Tamandua tetradactyla: one gene and its partner. The protein of the gene in region 1 binds, or shares a complex with, the protein of each later gene. Links are inferred from orthologs where the notes say so. Each region holds a gene or a part of one and is shown on either strand. Other genes may lie near its edges.

Evidence for each region.
Region 2: CORO2A (region 1) and GPS2 share a complex: the UniProt entries of both Homo sapiens proteins name them as parts of the N-Cor repressor complex. The link is inferred for Tamandua tetradactyla from reciprocal best matches to the Homo sapiens genes CORO2A and GPS2.

Annotation. Positions count from the first base shown.
Region 1 is NC_135328.1:15,426,099-15,437,059, forward strand, and holds the start of CORO2A (coronin-2A), read right to left. Parts: upstream 4,163-10,961; 5' UTR 357-4,162; coding exon 237-356; exon of another isoform or gene 226-236; intron 1-225. Other genes in the region: TBC1D2 (TBC1 domain family member 2A), read right to left, coding at 10,374-10,575.
Region 2 is NC_135332.1:61,178,012-61,188,233, forward strand, and holds GPS2 (G protein pathway suppressor 2), read right to left. Parts: upstream 4,401-10,222; 5' UTR 4,143-4,400; exon of another isoform or gene 4,139-4,142; intron 4,133-4,138; exon of another isoform or gene 3,941-4,132; 5' UTR 3,872-3,940; coding exon 3,778-3,871; intron 3,421-3,777; coding exon 3,311-3,420; intron 3,233-3,310; coding exon 3,120-3,232; intron 3,013-3,119; coding exon 2,933-3,012; intron 2,844-2,932; coding exon 2,761-2,843; intron 2,556-2,760; coding exon 2,402-2,555; intron 2,320-2,401; coding exon 2,230-2,319; intron 2,144-2,229; coding exon 2,064-2,143; intron 1,978-2,063; coding exon 1,882-1,977; intron 1,690-1,881; coding exon 1,606-1,689; 3' UTR 1,512-1,605; downstream 1-1,511. Other genes in the region: EIF5A (eukaryotic translation initiation factor 5A-1), read left to right, coding at 1-8, 207-338, 442-504; NEURL4 (neuralized-like protein 4), read right to left, coding at 5,044-5,248, 5,847-6,024, 6,102-6,214, 6,314-6,458, 6,611-6,718, 6,805-6,892, 7,028-7,207, 7,575-7,733 and 7 more. UniProt on the Homo sapiens protein: Key regulator of inflammation, lipid metabolism and mitochondrion homeostasis that acts by inhibiting the activity of the ubiquitin-conjugating enzyme UBE2N/Ubc13, thereby inhibiting 'Lys-63'-linked ubiquitination.

The DNA of each region.
Region 1 (10,961 bases):
CTGACTCCAAACCCCACCAATGACCCAGAGCTCAGGCATCACCTCCTCCAGGGAGCCCTCCCTGACCTCCATTCCTTCCAGGCTAGTTAGACAGCCTCCTCCAAACACCTACAGCTTTCTGTGTCTCTTAGCTACTGCCACAGTCCCTAGCATAGGGGCGGGGATTCCTATGATCCCCATTTTATGGGGGAGGCCACTGAGGCATAGAGAAGGGGTAGGACTTGCCTACTGAGCACCTCAGCTGCCGGCTCAGGCCTCGGACCAGCATCTTCCATCTCGGAGGCAGGGCTTCCTTTGCTCCTCTGCGTCCCCTGTGGTCTGCAATCTGCAACTCCAAAGCACTGCTGTAGGCTCATTTCCCTCTCCTCCTGCACTGGCCAGGCCCTATGCGTCCCAGCCCAGTGTGAGGATGGGGAGGTGGGGTGTCTCTGGCTTTGATGGGCTTGGTCCCCCCAGCCTGGGCTGACACCCTGTTGGAGGGTGGCCTCGGGAATAACAAGTAACTGGCCATTTATTGGGTGTCTCCCAGCCCCGCCCTGTGCCAGCCCCTCCTCCCACTGCACCTGCAGCTGGCACCATTGTGATGCTTCTTTGCAGATGGGGAGGGCAAGACCCTGGCCCAGGCCACCGGGGCGGAGCTGGGGTGGGAAGCCAGGCCCCTGTCCCTACTAGCAGCAGGCAGATCAGGAGCTTGCTGGCACCCGACGCAGAACTAAATGCACAGTCGGAGTACAGGGGATGGCTCCCGGGGGGCCAGAGGCCTCGACAAAGCCCAACTTCTCCCTCCCGCATCACCTGGCTGCCACCTTCCAGGGACAGCTGACTGGAGGGCTACTACCTCTGGCCCAGGGAACACGGCTCCTCCCTGGACCTCTCCAGCACTCCCCTTGGATAGGGTCACACACCACCTGCTGGCCCCCTGCGAGCCCCAGGCTCAGGGCCAGGCTGGAAGCAGCTGTCACATCTACCCAGGCCAAGTTCCCAGCTCTCTATTTCTTCTTATTTGAACGAGACATCGCCTGTCTGCTCCTGGCTGGCAGAGAGATGCAGGGCAAGGCCCTGCCTTTCACTGGGCCTTACCTTGCCTACCTGTGCAAGGATGGCAGGGGTGGGGGCGGGGCTGTGTCTCAATGGACCCACCGTCTCTGGCATTCCAGGGCTTGCCTGCAGGCAGCAGAGCTCAACAGACACGGGACACTGCAGCTGGGGGCATGGGGGTACAGTTATGACCCCCAGCCAGCTCCCCAACCTCTCCTGGCCTCAGAGTTCTCATCTGTAAAATGGGCACAGCAGGAGAAAAATGGCTGAAATCCAAAGTTATACTGATTGTATGAAATGTAGAGAGGAGAAGACATGGGTAATTTAGTTTCTGCCTGTTTTCCTTATCTTTTTCTAAATCCTCTATTATACTCAAGTATTTATAAGGGGGCAAACAAATGCTTTCTGTTATGGACTGAATTGTGTCCTTCCAAAAGACACGTTCAAGTCCTAACCTCCAGTCTCATGTATGTGGTTAGTTAAGAGGAAGCCAAAGAGGCTGGGCCCTTATCCTTTACGACTGATGTCCTTTTAAGAATTTCGAGACCCTCATTTGGAATTCTGGCCTCCAGAACTGGGAGAAAATACATTTCTATTGTTTCAAGCCACCCAGTTTGTGGTATTTTGTTCAGGAAAGCCAAGGAAACTAGCAAACTTTCTTTGTAAATTAACTTTATTGAGAAATAATTGACATATAATAAGATATAGCCACTTTTTAAAAAAGGGGATAATGGTACCTATCCTCTTGGTTGCAGAGGACTGATAGGTTAATGGATGTAAAGTCTTAGATGTGCTGGCATATGACAAGTGAGCCCAGAGCCACCCAGGCTTCCTCTTCCTGCTGGCCTGGCCGGGCCCCAACCTCACCCCACTCCACCCCACCGCACCGCTAACACCAATCTCTTTGGATCTGCTGCCGCCACATTCATTGTCCGGACCTGACCTCATCACCGAAGGCCTGGACAACTTCCACAGCCTCCTGCCAGTCTCCAAGGCATCCCAGAGGAATCGCCCTAACATTCAAGTCTGGCCACACTCCTGCTCTGCTCTAAAGCTTGCCATGGCTCTCCACTGCCCTTGGCTGAAATCCTCAGCTCCTCCACACAGCGCTATTTGGGCAAGCTACTTAACTTCTCTGTACTTTTGTTTTCTTAACTAAAAAAAGAGGAATACAATAGTACTGCCCTCACAAACCTGCAGGATTCCGTTTTGTGCAGGGGGCGAGGTACACGAGCTGCCCGTGGCTTCTCTGGCTTGTTTCCTTCTCGCTGTCATCTTGTTCTCACCTGCTCTTCCTTGAACACGCCAGGCAACCTCCCCCCTCAGAGCCTTTGCACTGGCTGTTCCCTCTGGCTGGAAGAATCTACCTCCAAAATTCTGCCCAGCTTGCTCCCTCACCTCCCTCAGCCATTGCAAAATGTCACTTTCCCCATGAGGCCTCCAAGGAACACTCTATTTAAAATGGCAACCCCCTACCCCTGCCCCCTCCCATGCCCTATCCCCCTCCTGTTTGTTTTTTTGGGGGTGCATGGTCCAGGAATCGAACCTGGGTCTCCCACATGGAAGGTGAGCATTCTACCACTGCCCCCTCCTGTTTTATTTGCTCCATGTTATTTATCACCATCTATTTCACTTGTTCATTGTCTGTATTTTTTCCTAGTAAATCTAAACAATTTGAGGGCAGATTTTTTTGCGTCTATTTTACTGTCTGACCCTCCACTCCCCCCCAGCACCTAGAGAATTCCTGGCACAAAAGGTGCTTGCTAAATAGGGGTCAAATGACTAAACGAATGAATGAAAGGAAAGCACCTAGGATGTATCAGGCAGGTGGTAAGTACACCATAAATATTATTACTATTATTTATTATTCAAGGTGAGGCTCATATGTCCTCCTCATTGACTTCCAAAGCTTATAATCACATCTTCCGAGGACCCACCGTCCCCTGCCTGTCTCTTAATTATAGCAAGAAGCACTCTGCTCCTTAATGATATCTTTTTTCACTTAGGCTGAACCAAATGAAATTGCCATTTTTTCGGCAAGTCAAATAGTCAGATATTGGCCGTTTCACATGTTTTAATCTAACACATTTCCCCAGCAACTTGCTGTTTCCCCCAGAAGTGAAGTAACCTCCTCCTGGCCCTGCAGACTAGGCTATGATTGCTACCCCCTCCAATCTGTTCTGAAGGAGGCAAGGTCCAGTCTAGGAACTTAAAATAATTAATAAAGGGTCCTACTGAATTATTTTCTGGTCCTCCTGACAAATCTCTGTCTTATAAGATTTGGGAGAGAAGATAAAAACAAAACACACCAAACTCTCAAACAGAACCGGCTCTGGCCATCTGGAAATAGGAAAGGGATACGGCAGGAATTCCTTCCCAGGAAAAAACAGCTAGCTGCTGGCCTGTCAAAGACTCATTTAATGATGGGGAAGGGGGGGGAGCTGGAACATTTTTTGGTTTCCACTGTGTTCAGTGCTCCTTCCAATAAAAGGCTTCAGTTACAAAGAGTTGCTAAGTCTAGAACATACTGAAAGAAATAAAGCAACCACTGGGTTTACCCCTATTTCACAGGTGGGGAAAGCGGGGTTAGAGAGGGGAAAGGGGTTGGCCCACGGGACATAGTGGGGTAGAGGCAGGGCTCATCGTGGAGGCCATGCCTGCTGATTCTTCATCTCGGGCTTTTCTCTAAGGACCACACTGCTTCCAAAGCTGGCCAGACCCCGCAACGTAAACTTCAGTGTGACTAATTTGTGAGCTGTGCTTTTCAAACAAAATGTGTTATCAAACCTCAGATAGAACACCGGATGCTTTTTCACTTTGAGATAACTTCTCGTAAATAGCAGCATTACCCGTCTCTGCCTAGAGTCAGTTCCTTGGGGGTAAATCCCCAAAATAGAGGGTTAGGGACAAGGACAGGTAGGGTCGTTTTCATGGGCTCTTGTAACAAGCTGCCAGATTGCCTGGCAAAATGAAATGCCACCAGCAAATCCCTGTAGCCTTGCCTGCACAAAGTTTTATTTTTTTCTGTTTATTTTTACTAAATTTATAGGGATACTGCTTTCCTTTGCTTAATGGTATGTGTTTATGAAAAAGCTCTGGTCTTGGAATCAGGATGCCTGGGCTGGACTGCTGGTTTTTGGAGTAAACTTTGGCAAGTCACGTCTCCTTTGGGGGGGGGGGGGGTAGGGGCTGCCAATCTGTACAATCATGTTTTTTGGAGATCCTTTTCAGCTTGGACATTTCATAATTGCATGGTGCATTTTGTAATTAATAGCATAGAATTACTTTTTAAATAATCAACATCTGCCCTGCCCCTAAATTGAGCCCAAATGGCTTGGATTAGCTATGAAGGAAAACAGGGCCCAGATTATTTTTTATATATGTATGGTGATGACAAACATAGAAGTAATACTTATTCCTGCATGTTGGTGTGACAGCAGTATACTCAGTCTGCTGTTACAAGGGGTTAATAACACTCATTTGTGCATGTCCCTTGCAGCTTTCACTCTAGGTCACTCTATTTCAGCCCTTTAGAATCTCAGTGACTCGCAGTCAAAAGTTGCCAGCCTGCAACAAGTGCTCATCCAGTCTCTGTTTGCAGACCTTCGATGACAGGGAGCTCACCACCTGTCCAAGCCACCCTTCACTTTCTTTAGTGGTAAGAAGTCTGCTGGGTGAAGGGCAGGTTTGAAGGAGAACAAAAGAGACCCAAAGTCCATGCCAGGCCTCCTGCACAGGTGGATTCTGAATAAGCTCACAGCTAAGAAGAGGCCCCATAGCGGACTCAGCTAGCTCTCTCCACCTCTGCTTCTGCTGTCTCTGGCAGGAGACACAGCACTGGCTGGCCCAGACCTGAGCAGGTTTAAGGGACCCTATGACTGGCTCCCAGGGTGGGGCAGGAGAATTGCTTGTTGTTTGTGTGCCCAGAGCTGGACCAAAGGGAGGGACAGGGGCTGGGAAGCAGATTCCAGTGAGCCTGAAGCTGCCTTTGGAGCTAGTGGACAACTTGTCAGCAGGGGTGGGCAACCCAGGTCCCAGGGGCTCTTCACCATGGGGAGTCTGGGGCCACATAGCCCCAGCCATGCTCGCCCCTCAGGCCACCCCCATGCAGACATAACCCTGCTGACTTGGTCGCTCCTGTGGTCCACACGTGGCCCTGTCACACAGGGCGGGGCACCAGCACGTGCCTGGGGCGCAGAATGGGACGGGCCAAACAGACCCTAATGCAGGAGGCGACCGGCGGTGTGGGTCTGGCCCAGCAGGTCTGCGTGTGAGAGCCGGCCACCTCCAGCCCAGGCCGCCCAGCCCCTGCCCGCGAGGCAGTCTACGCGGGCAGAACCTGACGGCCCCACCCCGCAAGCCCAGGCCAGCCGACCGCTGTGCCCGGCTCCCCCCTCCATCGTTTCCCGGACCGGGAAGCCGAGGCCAGCAGGTCACCAGGCCGAGAGAGGAAGGGGCCTGACACGGGCTCCAGGGCCACCATCGGGCCGCGTCGGAGCCGAGTCGCCGCGCCCAAAAGGAGCGGCCCTCGCTGCGGGCGGGAGGGGTGGGCGGTGTAGCCGGTGCCCATCCGGGCCCTGAGCCGTCGGGAGGCCGGACCTCGGGGTAGCCCCTCCCCACAGCGCGGAGACGAAGAGTCCCCGCGGCACCTGCTTGCCCGAGGGGGAAACGGAGGCCTGGAGAGGAGCAGTGCTTTGCGCAAGGTCACGCGGAGGGGCCGGGAACCAGGTCCCCTGCGCCCCGCCGGGGCCCCCCGCGGCGCGCCCAGTTCTCGCATCTCCCCGGGCGCTGCAGCCGGCAGGCACCGCGTGCTCGTCCCGCCTGCCGTTCCCCGCGCGCAGCCCGCGAAGGCGCGGGGCCGCCCTACCTTGGTGACGGCCGCGCAGGTGGCGGCGGCGGCGGCAGTGTCCGGCTCCGGCTCCGGCTCCGGCTCCGGCTCCGTGCTCCTCGCCGCCAGCGGAGTCCCCGCGCCGGGCGCCGCCTCCTACCCGCGCAGCCCGACTGGCGAGATGGGGACCCGCCCCCCAGCCCCGCCTTCCCGCACCCCCCCCACCCCGCCGCGCTCCTGGCCCCCCGGGGCTGGTCTCTGGGCGCGCTCACGGCCCAGCCCAGGCGCGCAGCCGCCGCAGGGATCCGGGCGAGCCACGGGGCCACCGAGCGGAGCCTGGGGTCAGGCAGACCCATCTGGCCGCGCGGCGTAGGGCCGGGGCCTCGACCTCCCCGAGCTTCCCTTTGCCCCCGAGGAGAAATGGAGACGGATCTGTCCCAGCGGGGTGCCTAGGATTTCGATGAAACGATCCGGCCCCGGCAAGTGCGCGCGCAGAGGCCGGCCCTGCAAAGGCGTCCCGGAGAGCCGGGGTCTGGAGCGGCGACTGCAGCTCCGCGCTGGGCGGAGAGGGAGCACCCTGCTCCTTCTCTCGGCAGCCAGGAGGGGGCGCTCTACTCGGCCTCGCCGGCTTGGGGGTCCAGGGGACGCCGGGCTATGGGGAGGTGATGGGAAACTGGGCCTTTTCCTAACAGCAGCAGCTAACCTTCATGGAGCGCTGGATGTGTGCCGGGCACGGCTGCCAGGCCCCTTGTATGTGTAACCTGGCTCTACTGCGCACAAGCCAATGAGTTTGAGGCCATCACTCCCCTATTTTGCCCAGAAGGAAGCTGAGGCACAGAGAGGTTAAGGAGCTTGCTCTAGGTCGCACAGTTGGTAAGTCAACCCCAGGCAGCAAGCTTCTAGTTGCTCCACCACACCTTTTGTTTTGCAGCCTTTGCTCTGGTGGTGCAGCTTCGGGACCTAGAGTCCCTGGCGCCTAGCAGGCATGCTCTATCATTTGTTGAGTAACAGTCTATGTACCACTCCACATATATTATTTCGTCTAATCCTACTAAGCCTTTCTTTAACCACTATTACTACACTCGTTTTGTAGATAAGAAAATTGAGGCTTAGAGTGGCTGAGTACTGGGGGTGGGAGGGGGGGCTCTGAGTTAATTCCTGAGAAAAAGCAACCTGGGCCAGACCCTGGGGCTCAGCGTCCACTGGGCCACCTGCCCAGAGCTGGGTGGGGTCCGTGTGCTGCAAAGCCCAGTGCCTCTTAGGCCCTCAGAGGCTCTACCCTGGGGCCCCATAGGCAGCACCAATGCCTGTTGGTGAGTCGGCTCTTTGATGTTTCAGTAAACCACATGGACAAAATCAGAATGGAGTGGAAAATCCTTATACTCATGGTTCAGTATTGCTTTTCTGTTGAATCATGCCTGGAAGTGGGCACTGTTGACTTTCCAAAGCTAAGGCCTCTCGGTGTTGCAGTTCTCCAAGGCTCAGCCTCAACCTCCCAGGTCCCACTCACCTTGCGTCCTTGCACCTCTGTGTCTTTGCTGGTGCTGTCCCCTCTGCCAGGAATTCTCTTTCCTTGTCATTACCTTCCCCTTTCTAACTGGCCTCACCCTTCCAGGCTCTGCACCAACAGCCCCTCCCCTAGGGAGCCTCCCGGATGCCCCCATGGTCCGCCCTCCCAGCTTTGTGTCTGCATTCTCCCACCCAGTGGCCTGAGGGTTGTTGGATGGGCCTCAGTTTGGGGAAAGGCTGGTTTGACCAGGACATCTCTGGGGGCTGGGGGCATGTGGTCCAAGGGACGGAGGGAAGGGCCACTGGGCACCTCTACAACAGGCACTCTGGGATCTGGCATGTTGGGGGAGGAGGCAGTTGTCATCAGCCAGCATAAATTGACACCCCCTCCCAAGGGGCTTCCTTTGAGAACATACTCCTGCCCTTCCCTTCCACTCAAGCTCTGCATGCTAGAGAGGGGAGCCCACCATTCCTCACTGACAGCTCCAGCTGCCTCCCGAAGTTCCCAGGGCAGCCCCTGGAGCTGCACAGCCTCCTCTCCCTCCACTGGCTGGGCCCACTGCACTGTATTCCTATGCCTCAAGGCTCCACCTCTCCCAGCACCTCGCTTGGGCACCCGGTGTTTGAAATGGCTACGAAGGGGTGGGAACTCCTTTGAGGGCCACTGGGAGACTGGGGGTGTCCCATGGTTGGGGTTCCTATCCCTGAACACAGGAATCCTGTGGAAGTGAGTGACCCCTCCCACTCTGGGGACAGGGAGAGCATCTCTAAAGTGTCCCCCAGACCCCTCCTCTATCTGGACTGCCATCCCTTTGTTCCTGGGCCTCAAATCCTTCCTCCTAACCTGTGGCCCCCTCAGCCCCTGGGAGCCGTGCATCTGGGGCAGGGGTGGGGGTGGGGGCAGCACAAGGTCCATGGGAAGGGAAGGGAGGTGGGGTTGCAAGGATCACATCCCCCAGCCCTGGAAGGCAGCGGCCCCTGGGGATGGGGGTGACAGCTGTGGTGTGGCCAGGAACCTGACACCGGGGGATGGGCCCCCAAATACCCTCCAGGAAAAGCAGAGGGAGGGTGGGCTCCCTGTGGGATACGAGCCCCCCCCCCCCCCCCCCCCCCCCGCCGGTAGTCGCTGCCAAAGCCTTGCTCTCTTTGTAAACCTCTGGTGACATCTTTTTTTTCTCATTTCCCACTGCCTGGAGCGTCCCCGAGGCCAGTCAGGGCCCTCCCAGGATCGTTGGGGAGCACTCTAAGCTCCAGTGCTGGTGAGGGGCAGGGGCCAGACTACAGTGGGGCTCAGTTGCCTGGGGCTGTGTGGCCTTGGGCAGGTTAATGAGCCCCTCTGAACCTTGGTCTCACTGTGCCTAGGGCCAGCTGGAGCGAGCTGATGCTGTGCGACGGGCAACTCTCCTCATTGACAGGGTCTCAGTCCTGTGCACTCCCCACCCCCCCGGGGTATCAGAACCCTGGCCCACCCTAGAGACTGGCTAAGACATTTCAGAAAGCTACTCAGGTCATTCCAGAGGGCAGTCAGGGAGGGAACCAGTGGTACAAGATGCTGGGTGACTGAAAGCACCCCCACTCTCCCCATGGGAAGAGGGAGGGGTGGAGAGGGAAGATGAGGCTGGGAGAGGGAGAGAATGGGGAAGGAGGAGGAGGGGAGGAGGAAGGAAAGGGAAAGGGAAGTGGGAAGACGGGGAGAGGAGAAGGAGGAGGAAGGCAGAGGGGAGGGCCAGGGAAGGGAGAAGAAAGGGGCAGAAGGAAAGGGGTGGAGGGTGGGGTTATCTGCCTGATGGCTGATTTGTTTTTGCTGAGGAGGGAATTTGAATATCAAGGCTGAGCCCAGTGAGGGCTGCAGGCTCTGGCTTCCTGGCGCCTTGGGCCCTTTCAAGCCCCAGGGCCCTCCCTGTGACAGGTCCTGCACGCCATGGGCTGAGCTGCCCTGTGCACCCTGCAGGCACTGACCTTTCAACCCTTCTGGGAGCTTCAGAGGCTCAAGCCCTCGTCCCTGGTCTTAGGGTCACAGCACCCTGGCTGGGGGCTTCCCAAGTAGCTGGCCCTGGGGTAGGCAGGGCCCCTCTCCCAGCCCCAGACAGAAAGGAGCCTTAGATCACTCCTGGGAGGTTTCAGGCCCTCTTCCCCTAATCCTCAGCAATCTTCCAGAGTTTTCCCCACCTCCCAGTCTGGTCCTCCACCAGGTCCAAGTTTTACTGAGAAAAGAGTTGCCAAAACTGCTGTGCAGCCTTGAGCCCCGGCCTTGGCTGGAGTGGGGTGGAGGGAGCCTCTGTCTGCTGAGGAAAGGCCTGGAAAGGCCCAGAAGAATCAAAACCAGAGGAGGCCGGTGGAAAGCCCGAGTTCCTGCACATAGTAGGGGCCCTACGGTCCAGCTCTGAAGCGACTGCGACCTCTCACCTCCCTCCCAACCCCATCTTTCACAGAGGGCCCTCCTCACCCAGCCTGCGAAGTCGGCAGTGGGAGGCAGAAGTGGGGCACACAGGCCCGGCTGCTGCTCAGAAAGGCAGACACCCTAAAAGCGCTCCTAGGGAGCGGAGGCAGCGCCCCCGCACAGGCGCCGAGGGACACAGCAGCCCCAGCAGCCCCAGCCGCCCCTAACGGTGGGACTTCCCGGGACCGCTGCCAACCGAGAAGCAACTACGTTTCAAACCTCATGAACTGTTTCCAATATTTACAGTTTTAAGTAGATACAGGTTGGGGCATTTGCAAAGCTACCCCATGAAGGCAGTCCCGAGCTCGCTGGGGTGGGGGCATGCTCTGGGGAGGTGAGGAAGGGCACTTCCCTGGCACCCACCTGGAGGAGGAAACCTGGCCAATGGCCTCAGGGCAGTCCACATCCCAATGGGGACAAGGAAGCAGTGAGAGGGACCTGCCCAGGGCCTCCAGGGATGAGGCTCCACAGGGCAGGTCCACTGGCCCCTATGGCTGTTGTCTGGGGGAGCCTGGCAGCCAAGGGGAAGGAGGGGCACGGGGTGGGGGTGGGGCCAGCTCAGGCCTCCCCCTCCCCCTCGTCCTCACTGGCGCAGCCCTCGGGCACTGCCAGCCCCGCCCGGGTCTCTAAATACTCGGCCTTGAGCAGCTCCAGCTCCCGCAGCTCTGCCTCCAGCCGCTCCCGGTGAGCTGCGCGCAGCTGCCGCAGCTGCTTCATCGGGAAGGGGTTCATGTCATTGAAGGCGATGCTCATCAGCTTCCTGGGGGTGGGAGATACGGTGAGCCCAGGGCATGGTCCTGGGGCCTTCCCAGACATCCCGCCGCAGGGCTGAGAGCCCTCAGGTTCTGCCCTCAGAGAGTACCCCTTCCAGGGGGAAGCAGTGAGCAGAGAGACAGTTCCCACCTGGGGGGACATGGATGGAGGCAGGCGGAAGCTCGGGCTGTAAGAGCTAGGGAGGGAAGGCCAGTCAGGGAAGGATTCCCGGAGGGGGTGACCCTTGAGCTGAGTTTTGAAGGACAGGTAGAAGTGGGCCAGGGGAAGAAGATGGCAGTGGTGGGGAGGTGGCAGGGAGCATTCTAAGAAACCTCCAGGGCCAAAACCCAGACGTGGGGGCTGTTCTCAGAACTGCCATCATTCTCTGGGGCA
Region 2 (10,222 bases), on another chromosome or scaffold:
ACTTCCAGGTATGTAGATGGTCTCAGGGAGGAGGCTGGTTTACGGGGGGGGGAATATGATTGACCAGAGGAGCTTGTGCTGGGAGAGAGGAGGGAAATGGCAGAAGGAGACAGCATTTGATATTAGCACTTTTGCTGTCACCCGTTTGACCTTTACTCTCAGCCTACCTGGACCTACCTTCAGCTTTCTTCCCTATCTGCTCTCAGCTGATTGGCATCCAGGATGGGTATCTATCGCTGCTTCAGGACAGTGGGGAGGTGCGGGAGGACCTTCGTCTGCCTGAGGGAGACCTTGGCAAGGAGATTGAGCAGAAGTACGACTGTGGAGAAGAGATCCTGGTATGGTGTCCCCTTCACGTCTTTCCTTTGTGCCCAGTTTTGCTCTTTGTCCTTCTTCCTCTGAACTTGAGCAGCTCTTGACTAGCTTTCTTGCCTCCAACAGATCACGGTGCTGTCAGCCATGACAGAGGAGGCAGCTGTTGCAATCAAGGCCATGGCAAAATAACTGGCTCCTAGGTAAGTCTGACAGTTTCCCGTGCTATCCCCTTCAAAGAGTTGTACTCAGCATAATTGTTCCAGGCTTACTCTGCCCTCAGCCTGGCCTGTTCTCCCCACTGTTCTGTGTTGAAGGTGTTGTCGTGTCTTACCTGGTTTCTCTCGTCTCTAGGGTGGCAGTGGTGGCAGCAGATCCTGGAGCCTGCAGAGGCCCCCTCCCCCAGCCTGGCCCAGCTCTGGCCCGGCCCTTGGCTGGATTCCTCCTACACGATTTATTTGACGTTTTATTTTGGTTTCTCTTCCTACTCCTCTACCCTACTCCCCACCCCCAATCTGTCGGGGATGCCCTGCCCTTCACCCTGCTCCCTTGGCCAGGAGCGAGCCATGGTGAAGCTGCCCTCTTCCTCTCCCCTCCCGCACTACAGCCCTGGTGGGGGGAGAGTGGGTGGGCACTGCTTGTGGTTTAGGTTTGGGTTTGTTCTTTTGTTTTTTTTTTTTTTTGTTTTTTTTTATTCAGTCTGGAATCAGAAAGCTGTGGATTCTAGCAAATGGTCCTTGTACCCTTCTACTTAACCCTGTTCTGGTCTCCTCTCTCCATAGTCCTTTACCCTAAGTACCACCCCTACAGACTGGGGACCGGCCCCCTCCCCTGCCTATGTCTCTCCCCAAACCCCTTTAGATAGGGAGGGAAGAGGAGGAGAGGGGAGGGGACCTGCCCCCTCCTCAGGCATCTGGGAGGGCCCTGCCTCCATGGGCTTCACCCTTTCCTGCGGGCTCTCTCCCCTACACATTTGTTAAAATCAAACCTGAATAAAACTACAAGTTTAATATGAAGCTCTCAATTCAGCCATTTCTTTGGGGGGTTGAAGTGAATGGGTATTCACTGAGTAAAATGTATATTCAGTTTGCCACTGAGTTAATAACAACCTCTTGTCTGGGTCTGGACCTGCTAAACCCTCCCCCAAAGCAGCCCTGACAGTTGGGTTGTGGGCAACACAAATAGCAGCAGCCAGGAGCAGTGGTGGCAGGTAGATTTTATTGGCCTGGAACACATAGGGGGGGAGCCCTCATCCCTGGAAGCAGGGGTGAGGTTGAAGATACAATCTGATGGTCACTTGTGGTAGAACCTCGGGTTCTGGCTGTGCTGGATGAAGGGGAGCCGAGGGCCAGGCTGGCTGGTTGCTGCAAAGCCCGACTGGTGATGGTGATGAAATGAGGATTTTTTTTTCAGTACATGTATTCACCTTCCACTTTAAAACTTTTATTGAGAACTATCTACTCCCCCAAGGAGAAAGGGAAAGCTAGGGGGTGGGGTCCCCTGTCCAACTATCTCCTGTTTTCCTGGTAGTACAGGGATTCTGACAGCTAAGTTTGTCACCATCCTCACCTTTCCAGCTGGCTGCATCTGCACAGGGAGCTGGGGGGAGGCAAGGAGTCCAGGGGCTGGGTGGAGAGCCTGGGGGTGCATGGGACGCAAGGAGGACTGCAAGAGAACAAAGTCAGGACCTGAGCAGCCTGGGGTTCCCTTGGCATAGTCCTTACCCTGAACTTCCATGGCTCCACACTTACAGAGTCAGAGAAGCCAGTTTGCTGGTTAGCATGTTCCATCTGTTTTTGCAAGGACAGGGCTCCACCAGGCTGGAGAAACCCTAGATGAGGAAGGAGAATGTAAAGATAGGACAAGGAGGAAGGGACGACCCATGGATTAAAGGACTCCTGCATGAGGTTTTCTCACCTGTCTGGGTGGGCTGAAAGTGGCCATGCACGGCATAGGGCTGTGGCTGTGGCTGAGACAAGTACTGCACTGCAGGAAATGCTGAAGGTGCTGAGAAAGGCAAGAGGCCCAGCCATTGGAACTTCCCTTCTCCCATTTATAATACTCTTTAATCCCCCTCTCCATCACTCACCTCTGAGCTGCTGACTGGGACTATAGGCTGGCTGTGTGGGCCCATAGTGAGGTGGGGGCTGAGCAGTCCCATAGGCACCCCCTGGGCTGCCTTGGAATTGTCCATGCTCTGGGGTCCCTGCAAAAGCGGCTGCTGAGCCCACGTAGTGCCGAGTCTAAGGAAAGAGGATGAGGACGCACTGCCAGTGAATTCCTTGAGAGCAGAACCTCAGTGACTTATGCCTATCTCTATACCGTTGTTCTATACAGTAACTGCTTGGTAATTAATGACTTGAATACTGGGAGCAAGGATGTCCAGGTCTGAATGGAAGAAGCAGCAATATAAGCAACTGGGGCTAGAACACCCAATTCTACTCTTACCGTCAGCACTTGGGGTCCGAACATCTGTTTGGCTCTGTCAGCTGCCATGAGGGTGCCTGGGCGGTTGTGTCCTCCAGGGCTCCCTAGAATGGGAGAGGCTTCATGATACGGAAATGGGAGGCTGTAACCCCCCAGAGGGCCCATACTGTCACGTGGTTTCTTTTGTCCTCACCCTGCATGCTGAGTAGGTGAGTTCCTGTGTGAACTGTCAAGCTCTGCTGGTACGCAGCTGATGTCAGGGTGGTCAGGTCGCTGGAGGGAGGGAAGGCAGGTCAAAGTCAAGGACAGGTGCTCATCTTTTGTTACCTGATTCTATTACCACTTGTCCCCACAATTTTATTATTAGCTCTCGACCCCACCTTTGCTCTTTTCGCCTCCGTTTTTCTTCTTCATGTAAAACTTTCTTGAGCTGCAAGAAAAGCTGGTGCTTCTCTTCCTGTAGGGCCAAGAGCTTCTCTTGCAACTTCAGAATCTGCAAGGGAAGGGTAGAGATGAAGACAGGAGAGCTGAGGGAAGAAATCACAGCTGGAAAAACCAAGGGACTGCTTACTTGTTCCTTAGTCTCCTCTAATGACATTCTCTCTTCCATCTCCTTTTTCTTCCTCCTCTCCTGTTCTTCCTTCATCTTCTGCTCCATCATCTTGTCCACCTCTTCTTCCTCTGGAAAAAGAGTCAGGCAGAATAGGGAAGTAGCAGGGTGTTAAAATAGTAGAAACAGATATTGATGAGCAGCAAAAATAGTTAACCCAGATGCTCCTGTATGTCTTTGGTAATGGCTCTTTTCCTCTGGAGGGGAAAGACTTCCCTACACGGCAGGGTACAAGGAGAGGTAAGGTTTGTCAGGTGCTCTCCAAGGTCCTTCCCAGCTCAACGGTTCTGGAACTTAGATCGGCTTTCTTGCCACGATAGTAAGGCTGTCTCAACCCTTGGCTAGTCTTGCCGGCCGGCGTACCGGTATGGTCGTGGGTGGGGGGTCAGACCTGCGCCGTATGTCCACCCGCTGTGGCCCCAGCTCACCCTGCCGCTTGCGCTCCCGCTCCATCATGATGTGCCGGTGAAGCGCCCTGGCCATGGCGTTGGAAAGCTTAGGACGCTCCAGGAGCGCGGGCATGGTGCTGTCGGGGTCGCTCGGGCCGTAGGCGCCCGACTCTGTCACTGAATGCCAGACCTTGAACCAGGCCTATGGGGAGGCGGGCGTTCAGGGAAGGCCGCACCCGGCCGAGGCGGAAGCCGGCGCGCCGCTCCAGTCACGTGTCCCTGGGCGCCCGCAGTTCGGTCCCGCCCGCAGCCACAATTCTCCGCGTGCGCGGGCGGGACCTCCAGCCTCGGGGATCCCCGCCCCCTTCCTCGCCAGTCCCGGGCACCGACCCCTCCCTACCCGCCTTCCCTTCGCCTTCTCCGCGGCCTCCTGTGGTCCTTAGCCTCTTGCGTCACATCCGGCGGGTAAGCCAAACTCTTCCGGAGTCAAGAAAGCGGCAGCCCTCGCTGGTTGGGTGGAGAGGAAAAGGCGGAAACGCAGCGTAACGGGTGCCCGTGGCGTCCAAACACTATTTGCGGAGCCTGCGATCACTGGCTGCTCGCCAGCCGGGGGCCGTGCACCCCGGCTGTAGACTCCCCTGAGCTGGGCCTACTTCTACCGGACGCAGCCCTTAACTTCGTGAGGTCGCGTGCCAGCGTCCGCCCTCCCAGGGTTCGGCACACTTGGCAGCCCTAGGGAAGAGGTGCCTCTGAGAGCGGCGCACGCGAGTAAGACCGAGGCTAGGGCTCTGAGACGGTGTTTATTGGCTCCTTAGAAATCAGAGTCAGTAACAGCTGTACAGAGGACCCCCGTCTTCCCTCGCGCCCTCCCTTCCCCACTCCCGCCCGATGGCCCCCGAAAAAAAGCAGCTTCATGTGGGGCACAGGGAGACACTCCTCTGGGATTCACAGTAACCAGGAGAAAAAAAAATAACAACAACAAAAAAAACGGAAATAAATTAAGTGGTTGGGGTTGGGGCGATAGGGAGTCATGTTCCCCAAGTCAGTGCATGAGGAGGGGTCCCCAGGGCCTGGGGCTGACTCCACAAGTTCCCTCACGTCAGAGGGAGTGTCTTGGGCCCCTGCACATGGAGGTGTGCTCCACTTCCCAATTAAATCCGAGAGCCTGAGCACATGTTCCTGCACATCTGCCAAGACTGAGCCCCGGTGCATGCCGTGGGTCACTGGAATGAGGTGGAGGCAGTGGTCACCCAGAGTTCATGGGCCCAGGGCTCAACTGTGCTTGTCGTAGTGAGGTCTCGCCCCTCATTCCACCCGTACCAGCAGGGCACAGAGGAGTGTGGCCCCCTTCTCCTTGGTTACCCACTCAAGTTCAGCTGGACTGAAGTGAGGATCAGGAGGCTCTCTGAGGGCAGCAGTCGGGGGACCAGGGGTGTAGGAGCCAGGGCGCACACACACCTGGAACGCTACTTGGGCCTGGTGTGTCTGCTGGGATTTAGGGTCCCGGAATCTGTCAGGCAAGAAGCAGAGCAAGAGGAGTGAGGCCTCTGGCCCTGGCACCTCTCCCCCTGGCTTATTCTGCTCTGACATACTGGCCTTGCTATTCTAGAAGATACTGTCACTTTAGGGACTTGGCCAGAGCTGCTCTACTTGAAATGCTCCTCCCAATACCTTTTCAGCTAAATGCCTCATTTCCTCCTTCAAGCCAGTGCTCAAATCCCATCTCAGTGAGGCCCACCCTGACTTACCCTATTTAACACCACTTCTGACCCACTTCACCCACTCTATTTTTTCTTTTTTCATAATACTTTATGAAAAAATTAGCTTTAAAAATACTAAGTGCTTATACATAAACCCATTGAGAGAGAGAGACATATTCCCACAAGGGTTCCTTTTCTGTTCAGGAAAGAAGGATTAGAAGTGCTATTTGTTCAATGAATAAATGAAGCAAAGGCTGAGATGGAGACTAAAGAACTAGTAAGATAAGATGAAAAAAGAGGAGGGCAAGTCATGGAGACTCGAGTGGCCCTGGGGTCCCTCTTGGTCTGACTCCCTGGTGATCTCTCCCCACCCCTCCTCTTCTCTCTCCTCCCCTCTCATGTACTCACTGCACTTTGGATGCCAAGGTCTCAGCCCCAGCATATTGAAGGGAGGGGGAAAGCAGCACTGGAGGGGGCTGTTCCTCCCGAGGAGGTGCGCAGTTCTCGCCAGGCGCTGCGAAACCCACCCCAGGCTCTCCCTTCAAGGGCCGGCAGCTCAGGATGGAGGCAGTGCCTGTGAGGACAGCTAGGTCAGGGCACCCCTTTTTGCTCCTCCCATGTCCCCAAGACCCAGCCTGCCCTGCCTCCCTTGCTCCACAGTACCTGCTTCCAGCTCCCCTCGGTCCAGTACCCTGCGTACAGCTGCCACATTGCTCCCATGATATGCCATGTGCCACTTCTTGGTTAGTGTGCCAGCTTCCAGGCGGGGATTCACCCTAGGAGATGGACAGATAGGGCAGGGCTCCCCTAGGTCATTCTCTAGCCAGGAAGTTCCGTTTTTCCATGTGCCCTCTGGGTACCCCACCCACATATACCTGAGGTTGAACCTGCACCACCCGAAGGGCAGGGCATATTCTCGGGGGGGCTCTCCTCGGCGCCTATGGGCCTCATCCCCTCGCAGCTTCCGGCAAGATTCACAGTAGCACAGGCTATGCTTGGGCGGAGGCATGAAATAATCCTCTGTGGGAGAGCGAGTGGCAGGCTTGGTGCCATGGCTCCCACCCTGGCTCTTGGCCATGCTGCCTCCTTCCGACTGGTCTCCAGGGCTCTGGGCTTGGCCCTGGACTGGCTCTGGAGTGAGGCAGGTTCCAGCAAGGATTGGGTATACTCACCAGGAAGCAGCAGCAGCTCTTGGAAGCGGGAGCAAAGGGCATGGTACTCGCAGCTCTTTAAGGTACTAGCAGCTGGTGGTGGACCCCAGCACACGCTCTCCTTGATACCTACAGGAGCAGAGGTGACGGTCATGGAAGCTGGGGCTGGAAGTATGGAGAGAAGGTAGGAGCCTGGTCCCTTCAGGCTGCCTCACCATCCACCATGTCAGCTTTCTCCATGTCCCCTTGGGTTCCAGCACCCTTGCCACTGGCAGCTCCTGATTCAGGGCTCACAATCGTCACCTGCAGGGAAGGGGGTGGTCACCCAGAACTTGGTCATCCGCCAAGGTTTGCTGATTCCCTTCTCTGACCACAGGCATGCCCCTTTGCCATCCCTGGTTCCCAAGCACGCCCCCTGCCCCCCTTATTGCCACTTACCCGCTCACACTGCCCATAGAGGTCCACAAGTGCATGGCAGGGCTGGGGGACGTCCGACAGAGCCACCCCCTGGTCTACTCCATTGACATGGAGATGCAGACCCCCAGAGCTGTCTAGCCGCAGTCCCAGGATGGTTCCTTCAGGACATGTGTCCAGATTTGGCCCAAATTTCTCACAGATCTGGGAGGAGAGACCTGCTGCTGTCTTCCCAGAGACTGGCCTCCACCAGCAGCAGCCGTCCCCACCTGTTGTTCAGCTGCCAGGTACTGGGCCTTGGGCTTTGCCTCACCCACCCACTGCCTAAGCCCTAGCCCTCGCTTCAATGACAGATCTAGACTCCATTTCACACTTCCTCCCAATTGGAACCTTCTCAATGGCAGGAACACAGGAAGAAGTGGTAGGCCTGAGACTGCCCCAGCTAAGGACACCCATGCACTTTCCTACCCTGCCTGCATCACCAAGGCTAGGGGTCCAACTTTTCCCTTTTGTCCAGCCCCTCCCAACTCAGAGACCCAGCCCTTTCCCTTTCCCCTGGCTCCTCCTTCACCTTGAGACCATTGTGGAAGACACCTCGGCCCCGCAGCAGCCAGGCTGCCCGCTTGAGGGCACAGGCAGAGGCAGGGAAGTTGAGCCTCTCAGGTGGACAAGCAATGACTCCCAGGACAAGGGACGATGTCCACTGTCGGTTCAAGAAGTCTATTCGCACCTGTGGGAGAAGGTAGCCCCTTTCCAGCTATGGCCTCCTAGGAAAGGGCCACTGAACCGGAAGAACCAGGCTCCTCATCCAGCCAGGGAAGGAATACTGCATCTCCCAGTGCGTGGCCTGGGAAAATGCCCTGCTGGTGCTTGCAGGGCCTAGAAGCTGCAAATTCAACTGTTTCCTTCCCCTTTAAGCCACGGTCTTGCTGTTGCCTCAGCAGGGACTCTTGTACCTAAGGACTTCCCTGAACTGGGTAACTGACATGTTTGCAGCTGAATGGCCCCTTCCTCTGGAATGCCTTCCCTACGCCCACACTTAGGGTCACGCATCTCCTCTGGACTCTTCCAGCCCTTACCACAGCCCTCCAGCTGCTAACTTTGCCAGGAGACCAACCTTCCACTTTTCCTTCAACTCAATGGCCTTTCTCCGGGAGGGTTGGCCTGAGGTAATGCTGGAGCCAGAGGAGCTGGGAGTTAAGAAGGCAAGTCCCACCTGGACCAGCAGCTGGGGCACCAGGGGCTGGTTGATGACGACGATGCCCTGATTGTAGCTAGCCACTCGTGTGGCTGTACGATTCCCATTGGATAACAGGATATTCTTCCCATGGTTCTCCAGGAACTCGAGGGCTGTGGGCATAATGGCCACTTGATCCTGGCCCTGGTGTGGAGGAGAAACTGAGCTGCTGGGGTTGCTGCCACTGTACCTGACCCAACCCACCTGAGTTTATGCAGAGCTTAATTATGAGCCTTTGCCTCTTCAGGACCGGATCATAGACCCTCCAAAAGACCCGGCTTCCAGTGGCCCTTCACTGCCCACCAGTGAGCCTGGCAGGCCCTGCTGCAGCTTCTTACTCCCAGGCTCTGCTCCTCGCCTTCGTCCTCTTCCTCGCCTTCACTGCCGGTATCCAAGCTGGGGGAAGGAGGCTGGGTGCCTTCGGACTCCTCCAGCCTCGTGGAGCTGACAATAGACACACTCCGCACTGGACCGTACAGATCCAGCACGGCCCACACATTCTGGAGGCACAAGGGACCCAAGAAGTCAGAGGTCAGCACAAGACCTCAGCCCCACTTGTAGAACCCAAGGAAGGCCTCTAGTCTACCTTGGCGATGCCAGTGGCTGCAGGCCCCATATCCTCTCCATCTACCAGGATGTGCATTGTGTCATCTGCCCCCCGGCGAACACCCACACGGCTTCCCACCTAGGACCAAAGGGGAATGAAAGTACTCAGTCTACCTCTCCCTGCCACCCCTACTCTGCCCCATGCCTGGAGCCAGCTGCCTCACCCCCAGTCTCTCCAGGTTCCGGCCGTAGTTCATCCTCTGAAGCTGCCCATCTCGCCTCACTTCACAGCTGGATACCATCCAAGTAGTCTTCATCCGGAGCTCTGGCAGAGAGGGCGGCAGTCCCGGGCCACCCCCTGCTCCAGGGCCCATCTCCCCTGGTGGTAGTGTGGTCAGCCCCAGCCGGAGTGAGCCTGCCCACTTCTCATCCAACTCTTCTATTTTCACCTGGGAGAGGGGAAACCATCAGTGGGCATGAGTCTGGCTCCAATGTGATACTCCCAATAGCCGCCTTTGTTGTATCTGTACAACCCACCTCAAAGACTTCCTCAGGCCTGAGTTCCTTGGTACTGAAGACAAGGCCATGAGCATAACCAGTCGCACGCACTGCCCTCGTGCCATCCTCCTCCAGTGTGACATTCTTGCCACAAGTACTGTGAAATCGGTGAGCCACACCAGCCACTGTAGAAAGATGGTGCCAGAGTAAAAGAAAGGCCTGACGTGACAAGCTTCAAGCAGGAATTTGGGACAGGACACAGAGTTAAACTCTCAGATAAAACAGGAAGTGGACATAAAGTACTCCTTCAGGACCTCCTGATACTTCTTTTCACCAGAGCAAGACTCATTCCCAAACCAGGGATGCCCAACTCCCAGTGTCTTTGGTGGCAGGGAACTGTCTAGACTCTGGGTACCAGGCATAAGCTCCCCTATTTTCTACTTCCCACCATCAATTGTTCCTTCTCCTTAGCCTGCAGCCACCCCAGCCTGTCTTTGAGCTGTATACCCTCAGGCCCAAGGCAGGTAAAGACAGCCCCCCTCCCTCCCTGCCGGCTGGACCTGGGGAGTGCAGGGGGAATGACTTCTCAGTGGCGGTGTTGCTGGTCGCTAGGCTGTTGTCCATGGGGCCGGTGGCATTGGTGATGGACACTTGGACACACTGGCCATATAGATCCACTACTGCATACACCTCTGGATGGGAAAGGGAAGCTCAGAAGACCGACGGCCCAGTGGGGTGCAAGCTGAAGGGTGGCAGGTGAAAACCACAGAGCAGTCACCTTTACCCGGAGGCAAGCCTGAGCAGGCAGCGCCCTGGTCCTGGCCGTTGATGAAGTAGTGCAGGTCGCCCTTGGCAGTACGCATCATGCCAATACGTGCACCTGTGCCCAGCGCGTCCAGGTCACACCCGTAGTTGTTGCGCATGGTGTTACCATCTTG